Linked DNA regions of Coturnix japonica. The protein of the gene in region 3 interacts with the protein of the main gene of each other region in a pairwise test. Links are inferred from orthologs where the notes say so. Each region holds a gene or a part of one and is shown on either strand. Other genes may lie near its edges.

Region 1 (3,440 bases), on a different chromosome or scaffold from region 3:
CATAAAAAAGCTTTCCTTTTGTCCTGCATCTTTGCTGACTTTCTAATTCCAGCTATCCAGAATAGAGCAAATCAGTAAGAAAACTTCTCTGAGCTGCTCCAAAAAATGTTCATAACAGCCTCAGGCTAGCAGTTACTTTTAAGGTTGCTGCTGTTCTATCACCTGTTTTTCTGGTAATTAGTCTCAGGTGCTACTCATCAACTTATATAACAAAGTCCAGCTGAGATTTTCTGAGTCATCACATGAAGGTGTACTTTTCTTCTACACTTAATATCTCCTTACCACAAACAAAAAGCTGGATAATATTTAAAGAAAACAATATGTACACTGCAATTCAACTATACCAAAAGCATAGAAAAATTCTAAACAGAATTTCAAAAGACTGGGACCCACAAAAGCATTAAGTTTCTCTACAAATAGTAGCTGATTTCAACCCCCATTTAGGAAAAAGAGAGGAATTACATACATATGGCCAAGTCTGCTAGTATCTCTTGGGAATGAGAAAGGTCCAGCTGATCTGAACTGGTTTGATTGGTTTGGTCCCTCACCTGGCTGCCCAAAACTTAAGAGACAGTAACACTCAAAAACATTTGCAACAGAACTGTCTTTATTTCAAGGCTATTTGAAAGTTTATTATAGTTCTCATGGGATCATCCAAATATGGGGAGGCAGAAACACTTTTATTACTTAAGACCTGTGTGACTGGTGGGTGGTTGTAGCACTTAAAAAGAAAAAAAAAACAAAAACTGCCCAATTTTTGTCAACAGAAGAAGGAAACCTGGTTGGGAACAGCTGAAAGTGAATATAGAAGGGATTGAAGAAAAGATAAAAAAAAAAAAAAAAGCAGAGTGAGCCAACAGGAAACAGTATTATTTCCTTTTTATGATCACCTTTAACTTAAAAGCTTAAGACTTGTGCCTTGATCAGCACTTTAAAAGTCATGTTAATATGAATTTTAAAAAAAATGTTATTAAAGTTGCAAAGACAAAAAACCACACTGCCACTATGGCCTTCACCTCCATCAGGTCTCCAGCAAAACAGCTGGGAGGCAGCAATACCCTCCACAAGGCAAACACACAAGAGATTGTGAAGGCTGATACACAACAGCTGTGTCCAAACACTTTCTCCATGGAACACAGGCATTCAAACAACCTCCACATGATTAAAAAAAAAAATACTGTAAAGGAGGGAAGTATTTATTTTAATGGAGACCTCTAAACACTTCATGGAAGGGGATCAGACCTACTTATTTTAAAACAAGAGAAAAAGAAGGTCACAACTGAAGTCATATCTCACTTGAACTCTTACATTACAAGCATTTCTCACTGAGTTTCTCAGATCTCAGTCAATGTGTAACAGTCCTGACTCAGTCACCCCCACACAGTCTACAGTTTGCTAGATATTTCTGTAAAAGGCAAAACTCTCTGTTCAGATACTGTATGTTGAAAACACAGAAATTTTATGAACTGGAATTTCTGTGTTACTGCATCCATATTAATATATAATTAAGAAGTCTTTCCATCTAGAGAGCTTATTTATCTCCCATGCTAACTTCCGTAGGGTTACTAACCTGTACTAGCCATAAATGTCAGTGTCTCTTCACTTCTAGCTGTTCCTCCTCCAAGATCACATCTTTATCTGGTTTGTCAAAATCTACTAAGAAGTGGACAAGACAAAGTTTTAATCAAATGTAAGCAGTAACAACAGGTTTTATTCAAAACTTCCAGTAAAGAGGAGCCGCTAAGTTTGGAATAAAGGTACTTAAAGTACTACAGCTTACGTGAATATAAAAGATCAAAGAGAAGACAATAAACCAAGCCGTAAAAAAAAAAAAAATTAAAAATATATATATTTTTAAAAGTTTGAAACAGACCCACATGAGGATTCTGAAGCCCTCCAAACAATTAACAGTTTCTAGATTTGGCAAAACAAGATTCTCTTACAAAATTAAAAGCCTATTTCTGTTACATACACTGTATAAAACTGCTCAATAGTTAAAAGAGCACACTGTACAACTTTGTCTTGAAATACATAGAGCTGCAGCCTTCCAACTGCAGGAATTAATCATTTTGTCCTCTTCAGAGGTAAAAAGAATTAACCAGCTGCGCAATTGCTCTGGGAGAAAAAGGAAGAGGCAAAAAAAAAAAAAGTCAGAATTATCAAGGTGAAGCCACTATAAAAATGAAATGCACAGCAAAACTCAGACCTCAGTTTAAACTAACAACCTATGTTTACAATATATTCTACATTTCAGTTGTCACCTTCTCTTCCCACTCCCTCTTCCCCCCATTCAAATACTCCTAATTCCTTTATGGGTCTACGTCTAAAGGATTTCTAAACTTTCAAATACACCATACATACATTTACCAAAAAACATTCCTAACATTCTTACAGCAGTACGGTCAGGACACAGTTTCCAAGATTATGACAAGTTATTGGTATTAAAACTATATGTTAGGTGTTTGGTTTGGTTGTTTTTTGTTTGTATGTCTGTCTTATAAAGAGAAGAATAACCATCAGCTTAAACAAATGATTTTAAAACATACTGCAGAAAGCCTGCTAAAAGCAGGCTTCACCAACATTAGCTCCTAGCCCAAGGGGACAACGTGGGGGAAAAAAGCAGTGAGTGCTGGATGTCATGAAGGAAGAGAATCTCAGAGTGCCAACCATAGGAAACTCCTTTGTGGACTCAGTCCAACAGCTTGTTGTTCTGGCTCAGTAGCCTCCTTTATGGTAAGGCCTGCAAATCAACTTTGCAGTAGAACGTTACTGTGTAAACTAAAATACTTGATACCAACAGTATTATGTCAAAGGGGTTGGTTTTTGTTTTCTTTTTTCATTGCGTTTTGTTGTATTGTTTTCTTCCCCGAATCCAACAGTTGGTCACAAAAGTAAATTATTTTCATGGCTCTTACTCAGCTGTTGTCAGTTCAGGGGGGAAAAATGAAAAAAGTGTGTGTCTGACTCATACGTCCTTCAAGTACACGCAAGGCTCGTTGTTTCCAAAATGCAGGAGCTTGGGACCTTAAGACACTGAAGAAATAGGATTATGAGGAGAGCCCATCTGAGTAAGTACTTTATCCAGCCACTGAAGGGGACCGTGAAGGTGTATCTCTATCCAGCATGGAGTACTCGTTACATCTTGTCGATGATATTCAGCTCCCCAACCCTGGAAACAGAATCATAGGCAGGGAAAATCATCTTACTGATAATAGCAAATACATGAGAAGCACACTTGAATCCATTTCTTTCTTACTGAAATAATCTAGCTTTCATAAGTGATTTTCAGCAGAACAGCATCTGATCACTATCACATTTCAACAAACAAACCCCAAGTTTGAAAAAAAAACAAAACAAAATTTGCAGCAATTGTCATTTTGTGATCTCTTGGAATTGAACTCTAAGTTCTCAAAAGATGTCACTTCTGGCAATACAAGACT
Region 2 (3,751 bases), about 120 Mb from region 3:
CGAGGGTTTAAGGGGTAATACCTAAGGCAGATCATACATCCACTTTTCAACAGCAGTTTACTGTTCTCTGTGCAGTGTCACGGGCCGATGGGACCACTCACAACCCTGTGAAGGTATTACAACCCAGTTTGTAACACAATTTATGTTTGAATTACTCTTAGGAGGTAAATGGAAATTCAAAGAGACCGGCTCACAAAACCATTGGGCAGCAAAATTCCAGGCACTGCCTGCTGGGCTGGTGGGACCCCAGCAGCTGGATCCCACAGCCACAAGCACTGCTGTGACCGTGGGACGAAGAGGACACCTCCAATACTGACATCCCCGGTGTGTCATCCAGGCAGAGGATCCTGAGGAGAGCTGGTGGTCCCGCACAGCCCGGGGAGGTACAACCGGAGCCCAGCTCCCTCACAGGGCACTGTCCCAGTGTCCCCCTCACAGCCACCCCGCGGTGCTCGGAGCCATTTGTGAGGGGTCTGGTCACATCCCCGGAGGGACACTCGGGAAGGGAGGGCTGTGCGCTTCTCCTCGCCCCCTCGGGGTGCCCAGGCCCGGCTTCTGCCCCTAGAGAGACGGGGCGGGAAATGGCGGCGCTCGGGGACCGGGATGGGTGCGATGCAGAGAGTGAGCGGGGCGAGCGGCGCGCAGTGGGTGCGGAGGGTGAACTGTATGAGTGTGTCACACTCCATGTAGTGTGTGTGTGTGAGAGAGAGAGGGAAAAAGAGCGAGTGTGCGCGCGAGGCGGGCGGCGGGGGGAGCGCAGGGGCGGGCCGGCGGCAGCGGCGCTGCTGGCCGCGCTCCAGCCCGGCGCACTAATACAGGCTGGCGGCTCCCGCCTGACTGACGCCGGCCGGGGCTGCTGCTGCCGCTGCCGCTGCCGCGCTGCGCCCTGGCCCCGCCGCCGCCGCGCAGCTGCAGCCCCAGCCCCGCTCCCGCCCGCGGCGCGCCGAGACCCCCACCCAGCCCGCAACGGTGGCAGGTAAGAGCCGGGATCCCGGCCGCGTCCCGGGACGCAGCGCGGTGCCCAAAGTTCGTGCCGGGGTCGGGCGGCGCACCTGGGGCCGGCGGTGCGGGCGGCATCACCACCGGGAGGGAGGGAGGGTGGGAGGCATCCCCCGGGACGGTGCCCATCGGCGGGATGCGGGAGACACGGCGACGCCAGGGCTGAGAGCGAAAAGGAGGAGCGCGGGGAGAAAAGAGCGTTGTTGTGGATGGCTGGAGGCTGACAAGCATTCCCGCTGCGAGGGCTGCTTTCCTTAAGGAAAACAAAACCCACATGACTCGTTCGGAGAGAGTTTTTTCCCTTGCAGAGGTTATTTTCTGATCGAGAAATCCCGGCGCCGGACGCGCTCCCGAATAGAACAGAGCAGATTTGGGTTTGCGCTCCAGCTGCAGGCGCGGGGTCCTTCAGAACCAAACCGAACCGGGGTGACCCGCGATTGGGCCCGTTTGTATCCGATTCCGATCTCGTGTGTCGGCAACTTTGTGTTTTCCCACTTGGATTTATTTGATGGGTGAATTAATTTGATCCTTGCCGGGGCTGCTCGCTAAGGCACGTCAGTGGGAATAAAAATAAATGACACACACATGCGTGCGCACAAACACACGCGTGCTGTTAATTGCTGGCGTTTTACAGATTTGTGAGCGGGGAGGGGGGGAAAAAAAAGCACAGCCCAGAATGGCCAAGTCTTCGGTGAATGAGCTCTGCCTTGGCAGCGGTAGGAAGTGATGTGCACGTCTCTGGAACACGTTCAAGTTTGTGGCTGCCGGGGAAGGACACTGCAGAGAGCACGAGTTTCGGTGCTTTGCATCTCCTGTGTGCAGAGATGTGCGGCTGTATGGGTGGCGATGCCCTCCTCGGATCCCAAAATATAAGCTTGAGAAAAAGCCACGAAAGTCTTCCCGTCAGCCACGGGAGGATGAATGTCATCGCTCACCCAAACGTCATCCAGGCTGACAGCTCCCGTTGTCCAGGTTTGATGTGTGCCCACGTCTGCTTAGTTTGCGTTTGTTTCCTTCTATACTTCAGAGCCGAGGCTTCAGGTGTAATTTTTGTTTCATTTATTTGACATACTGAGTTACTTCGGCCACAAAGTGTGCCACAAAGTATTCTTAAAGTGAATCCTTTCAAGAAACACCCTGTGTTCTTCCTTCTGAGTTCTGCAGTAATTTCTGCTCCTGTCTGCCCTTTATGGTGGAGTTACAAATGTTCTTCCTCACCCTGTTGCAGGCATACAAGCGATAAAGCAATAACCGCAAAAACAAATAAGGGTCACTTGTATTTTATCCCAATTTGATCAGGATTTTTGTTTTCATTGGAGTTGGGGATGGATGCTCTTATTTACGTGCAGAACTAAACTGAACACACACAAAGGTTTGCTCTGAGCTCTCAACTTTGCAGAGCAGTTAAGCATTAATATTTTATCAATGCACTTGTCCCAGGCTGAGAGCACATACACGTATGCCGCATACCTACAGAAGGTGGAGGCGAGGCACTCGGAGCCCTTGCACACAAACTGGTGGTGGTTCCCCATCTGCCTTCACTGGGGACAAGGCAAGGCCCGACCCACTAAAATAGGACCACAGAAATGTTGGCGTAGCGTATCACGTAACATCTGGACAGTTAATCCTCCTTTCTCCCCTTTTATTCTTTTACAGACTTTGTGTATCTCGAGCTTGAATCCTCAGATATCTGCTGTTATCGGCTCGGCAGATAGGGTGTCATGTAATCCTCTGTGCTGAATGCTAAAGTGCTGTAATTCTGATGGCCTGGCTAATCTTTCTCGATAAAGTTTTATTTTTCCATTGTTAAATTCAAAGGACAGTGACTACTAATTACAAGTGACCTCTAACCAAAACACCAGTTAGCATTTATCGCTGCTGCTGATACTCGCTAAGAGTAATTCCAGCATCAGCTCTATGGGGCACCCTGCTTCAGAGAAACCCAAAAGAATAAAGGGAGCTAAAAGGGGAGAAAATACATAAGCTCTGGGTCATTTGTGGTAAAAATGTAGTGCGAGCGTCCATAGATTCCATTTGCTCTGCAGTATGTCTGTTGCAAATAATAATGACATGGATGAGGAAGAAATAATTAAAAATATCATCAATATTTTAACTGAAAACAGCACAGCAAAAACGTACAGAAGGTTGTTATGGTAGGCTGCCTGGTTTCCTGCTGCAGGCTGGTATAAAGAATCATTAGTGTTATTGTACATTAACAGCAAAAGATAGTAATAGCAATGACAATTTGAGAGAATCATTGCTTTCCTATTACTGTCTTTGAGAGCATTTGTTCTAAGAAACATTAGACTGAATACAGTGTAATAAAATTAATTTTTTTCAAAAATATCCCCAATTATTTCCCATCTTACATTCTTTTATAATGTTTGAATGGTAATAGCATAATAGCATGGGAATTTTACAGATGAAGAGGTGAATTAAAGAGTCCAGGGCTCTGCGTATTTATTATGGTAGCTGAAAACCACGCTGTGCTTTTGCAGATGAGTTAGATCTAATAGACTGCGGGATCAGAGCCCAGTCTGAGATCCTGACAAACAGATGTACGCATTTAAAACAAAACAGGTGAAACTTTTTCTGCCCAGGTTTTAGTGAAGATACCTGTGATTTTTAGATGAGTTGCTGCACAGGACCGACAGCAGGATTCTGAAAGAGCTATTGCAGCATCTCAGACAGGTGAAGCAGTTTTACTTTGAAGTTCAGCTCCTCAGGACAAGGACACAACAAGGACACAGTG
Region 3 (3,667 bases):
TGCTACAAGGGCAATTATAGTCAGACTGAAATGGAAACAGTGCTGCATTTATGGTGTGCTCATGGGTGGGTAGGCCAAGAGTTTGTCGTTTGGGATGGTCAGACAAAGGCACATGGGTCACAAAGGGACTTTGCAGTCTCTACATGAGGCCTATATGTCAAAGGGCAACCACAGAATCACAGAATCACAGAATGACCCGGGTTGGAAGGGACCTCAAGGATCATGTAGTTCCAACCCCCCTGCCTGGCAGGGCCACCAAACATACACCTTTACTAGATCAGGTTGCCCAGGGCCCCGTCCAACCTGGTCTTGAACACCTCCAAGGACGGGGCATCCACAGCCTCCCTGCGCAGCCTGTTCCAGGACCAGGAGGGCTGGCACATGCCCCACGCAGAGAAATGCCAATCGGCACAATTATTTTGACAAACACCCATGTGATGAACACACTTGATGTATGTTGTTAGTTTTCACGGTTCTATATTTGAGACGGTATATTTTCCTACAGAAAACAGCATCTCCAGACACTGGTATGTCTAAGGAGAGTGATGCTCAGGGCACATCTTCCATTGAGCTCATTGAGGAGCACATCACAGCAACATCTCACAGCGCTGCCTGTCTTTTAGGAGAGGGCTGAGGATCGGCTGTGTGTGCATGAGCAGCGGCTCACACGGTGCAGGTGGGGTCTGGGTGTACCCAGAGCCGCAGCCGAGCCAGGGCCGGGGGCGGGCGGTGCCTGGGGGTGACGGGCGGGTCTAGGCCACAGCCGAGTGCGCACGCGTCAGTTCCGGCGGGGAGCGCGGCGCGGCGCGTGGGTAGGAAACGCCGCGGCGGCGGGGGAGCGGAAAATGGCGGCGGCCGCGCAGCTGACGGATGAGGAGCTGTTCTCGGAGCTCAGGCGCTTCGGCTTCTCTCCGGGGCCGGTCACCGAGAGCACCCGGCCCGTCTATCTGAAGAAGCTGAAGAAGCTGCGCGAGGAGGAGCGAGCCGGGGCCCGCGGCGGCGCCAACAAGACCCGGAACAGCAACAACAATAACACGGCGGCCGGAGGCGGCGGCGGCGGCGCCGGGAGAGCGGGCGCGGGCGGGCGGCTGTCGGGCGCCGAGCACCCGTACCTCCACGGGGCTGGGCGGAGCCGCGCTGCACCCCCTGCCGGGGGCGGCAAAGTGCTGCTGGGCTTCAGCTCCGACGAGTCGGACGCGGAGCCCGGCCCTCGCGGCCAGGCCGGCGGCAGGAGGGAGCGGGCTTCGCCCCTCTTCCGTGCGGCGAGGCCCGGCGGCGGCCCGGCCCCCCCGGAGGAGGCGGCCCGGCGGAAGCACGGCGCCTGGTGGGGGGCGGCGGCGGCACGCAGAGCGGATCCGAGAGCCTGGGAGCGTGGGGACGGCGGGGAGGAGGACGACGACGACGCGGAGGAGGAGGAGGAGAAGGGCGAGCAGCGGCGGTGGAAGAACCGGACCGTGAACGGCAGCCGGCTGCTCGCCTGCGGCGGGAACGAGTACTCAGACTCGGAGGAAGAGGAGGCGGCGGCCCGGCAGCAGGTACCGAGGGAGGAGGCGGCGGCCCGACGGCACAGACGGAGCCTCGGCAAGTCCGCGCCGTTCACAGCGAGCAAATGCGCCGCGGCCGGTGCCGGCGCGATGGAGAGGGACGGCGGGGGATGCGGTGCCGGCGCGACTGACGGGGCGGCGGGGGCGGCCGCTGCCGGGAGCCGAGACGGGGGCGGGAGCCGCGAGGAGACGGCGGCCGCTGCGGGGGGAAGATGCGAGAGTCCGGAGCCGGGTCCCATCGGCCCCCGGTATCGCCTCGGTCCGGCCAGGAGGGGCCCCGCGGCGCCGCTCTCGGACGCGGACGGCGGTGACGGCGCCGAGCCCCCGGGCGCCGCCAGGAAGGCCACCAACAACCACGTCCTCGGCGGGGCCGCCGGCAGCTACGGCACAGAGGCCAGGATCTATTCCGCTACCAACAGCCTCCCCCCGGGCGGGAGCGCCTCCCTCAGACTCAACCACTCCAATCATACGGGTTCAAATCACACCTACCTGAAAAACACCTACAAGAAGAATCTCTCCGAGCCCGAGGAGGAGCTTCTCCAACAGTTCAAAAGAGAGGAGGTATCCACCACTGGAGGCTTCAGTGCACATTACCTGTCCATGTTCCTCTTAACTGCTGCATGCTTGTTCTTTCTGATACTGGGATTCACATACCTGAGAATGAGAGGTTCTGGAGTAGCTGAGGATGTGGGAGCCAACAGTAAGTATTAGGTCAAGGGGAAGGGCAGTTAATTTCTGCAAGGGGATGTACTGCTGCTAATCCAACTCTGCGTTCTCAGGTGGTCTGTGCTGCACAGTTTGTGGTTCTGCTGTTCCATAAATTTCCCACTTAGGTTGGAGCACACAGGAACTGACTGGCCTTCCTAAAGCGATGTAGTGAAGCTTGCCAGACGTTTGGGGATAAACCCATATTCTTATTATTCTCTGCTGTAATCTATTGGTACCTTGTTTTCTAGCATGTTTTGTTCAGTCTAGAAGATCATGGTTAATAGACAGTCGACAAGGTAAGGCTTTTACCCACCTCAGAGAAGATGCTCGTTTGGATACCTGGGATTCTTGCAGGGCAAAGGTTCGACTGTAGTTGTTAAGTAATGAAGCAGGTTGCCTTTGTGTGTATGTGTGTTGAGGCTGGGGAGGATGCTGGGCTGATTTTTTTTTTCAACGCTATGACAAACTTTGTGCAGTTTTTTAACCTGTTGTATACTATTTTCGAATATGTGCTTATACATTTAAAATGTGATTATGCACTAAATGCTATTGTGCTGTACTTTGGTTTTCACAGCATTTTTTTTTTTTAATTTAATCCTATACTATTTGGGTGTGTCTTTAATACATGGAAGCAATTTATTGGAATGGGTGTGGAAACTACCATTTTCCATTCACAAAACATCTGAAGATGGAAGTGTGCCATTTCCACCTAAGGAGGCATAATACCAGAATGAAAAACCATGCTGTTACTCATTGGGAGCAATGAAAAATTGCTCAAAAAGCTTGTTTTGGGATGTAAGACCATTAGAAGGTTCTTGGAGATTTGTAGAATCATAGAATGGCCTGGATTGAAAAGGACCACAATGATCATCCAGTTTCAACCTCCCTGCTATGTGCAGGGTCATCAGCCACCAGACCAGACTGCCCAGAGCCACATCCAGCCTGGCCTTGAATGCCTGCAGGGATGGGGCATCCACAGCCTCCTTGGGCAACCTGTGCTAGTGATTGTATTGTTCTTGCAATCACTTAGGAGAAATATGTGGACATATGTTCATATGTATCTGAGACATTTCTTAATATTTCTTTGTACGGATTTTAGGGCATGTGTATAATCATACGTGAACATAAATACAAGTGCCTTGCATGGAATGATCCTGCTGCTAGTTTGGGTTCTGCTAGAAGTTACAGGACAGATGGAGCTGAAATTATTCTGTTTATCTTTTGTTTTTATTTTTCCCTTTCATTTTATTACATTGCAGTAACTATAATAGAATAGTTTTATTTTTCATGCTTTCTGTGGGAGGAGTGGAGACAAAGAATTAAGTGTTTAAGAAAAGTCAACAGCAATAAAGGTTAGAACATCTGCTGTAGTTTCTTTGACCATCCACGTGGCTCTTAATAACTACTGTTCAGTC

What was found.
Region 1: the proteins of LEMD3 (region 3) and SMAD1 interact in binary tests that used the Homo sapiens proteins (3 or more experiments, as listed by UniProt). The link is inferred for Coturnix japonica from reciprocal best matches to the Homo sapiens genes LEMD3 and SMAD1.
Region 2: the proteins of LEMD3 (region 3) and SMAD9 interact in binary tests that used the Homo sapiens proteins (3 or more experiments, as listed by UniProt). The link is inferred for Coturnix japonica from reciprocal best matches to the Homo sapiens genes LEMD3 and SMAD9.

Annotation. Positions count from the first base shown.
Region 1 is NC_029519.1:27,382,273-27,385,712, reverse strand, and holds the end of SMAD1 (mothers against decapentaplegic homolog 1), read right to left. Parts: intron 3,170-3,440; coding exon 3,026-3,169; 3' UTR 586-3,025; downstream 1-585. UniProt on the Homo sapiens protein: Transcriptional modulator that plays a role in various cellular processes, including embryonic development, cell differentiation, and tissue homeostasis.
Region 2 is NC_029516.1:154,136,760-154,140,510, forward strand, and holds the start of SMAD9 (mothers against decapentaplegic homolog 9), read left to right. Parts: upstream 1-917; 5' UTR 918-976; intron 977-3,751. UniProt on the Homo sapiens protein: Transcriptional modulator activated by BMP (bone morphogenetic proteins) type 1 receptor kinase. SMAD9 is a receptor-regulated SMAD (R-SMAD).
Region 3 is NC_029516.1:30,815,637-30,819,303, forward strand, and holds the start of LEMD3 (inner nuclear membrane protein Man1), read left to right. Parts: upstream 1-769; 5' UTR 770-845; coding exon 846-2,244; intron 2,245-2,250; exon of another isoform or gene 2,251-3,667.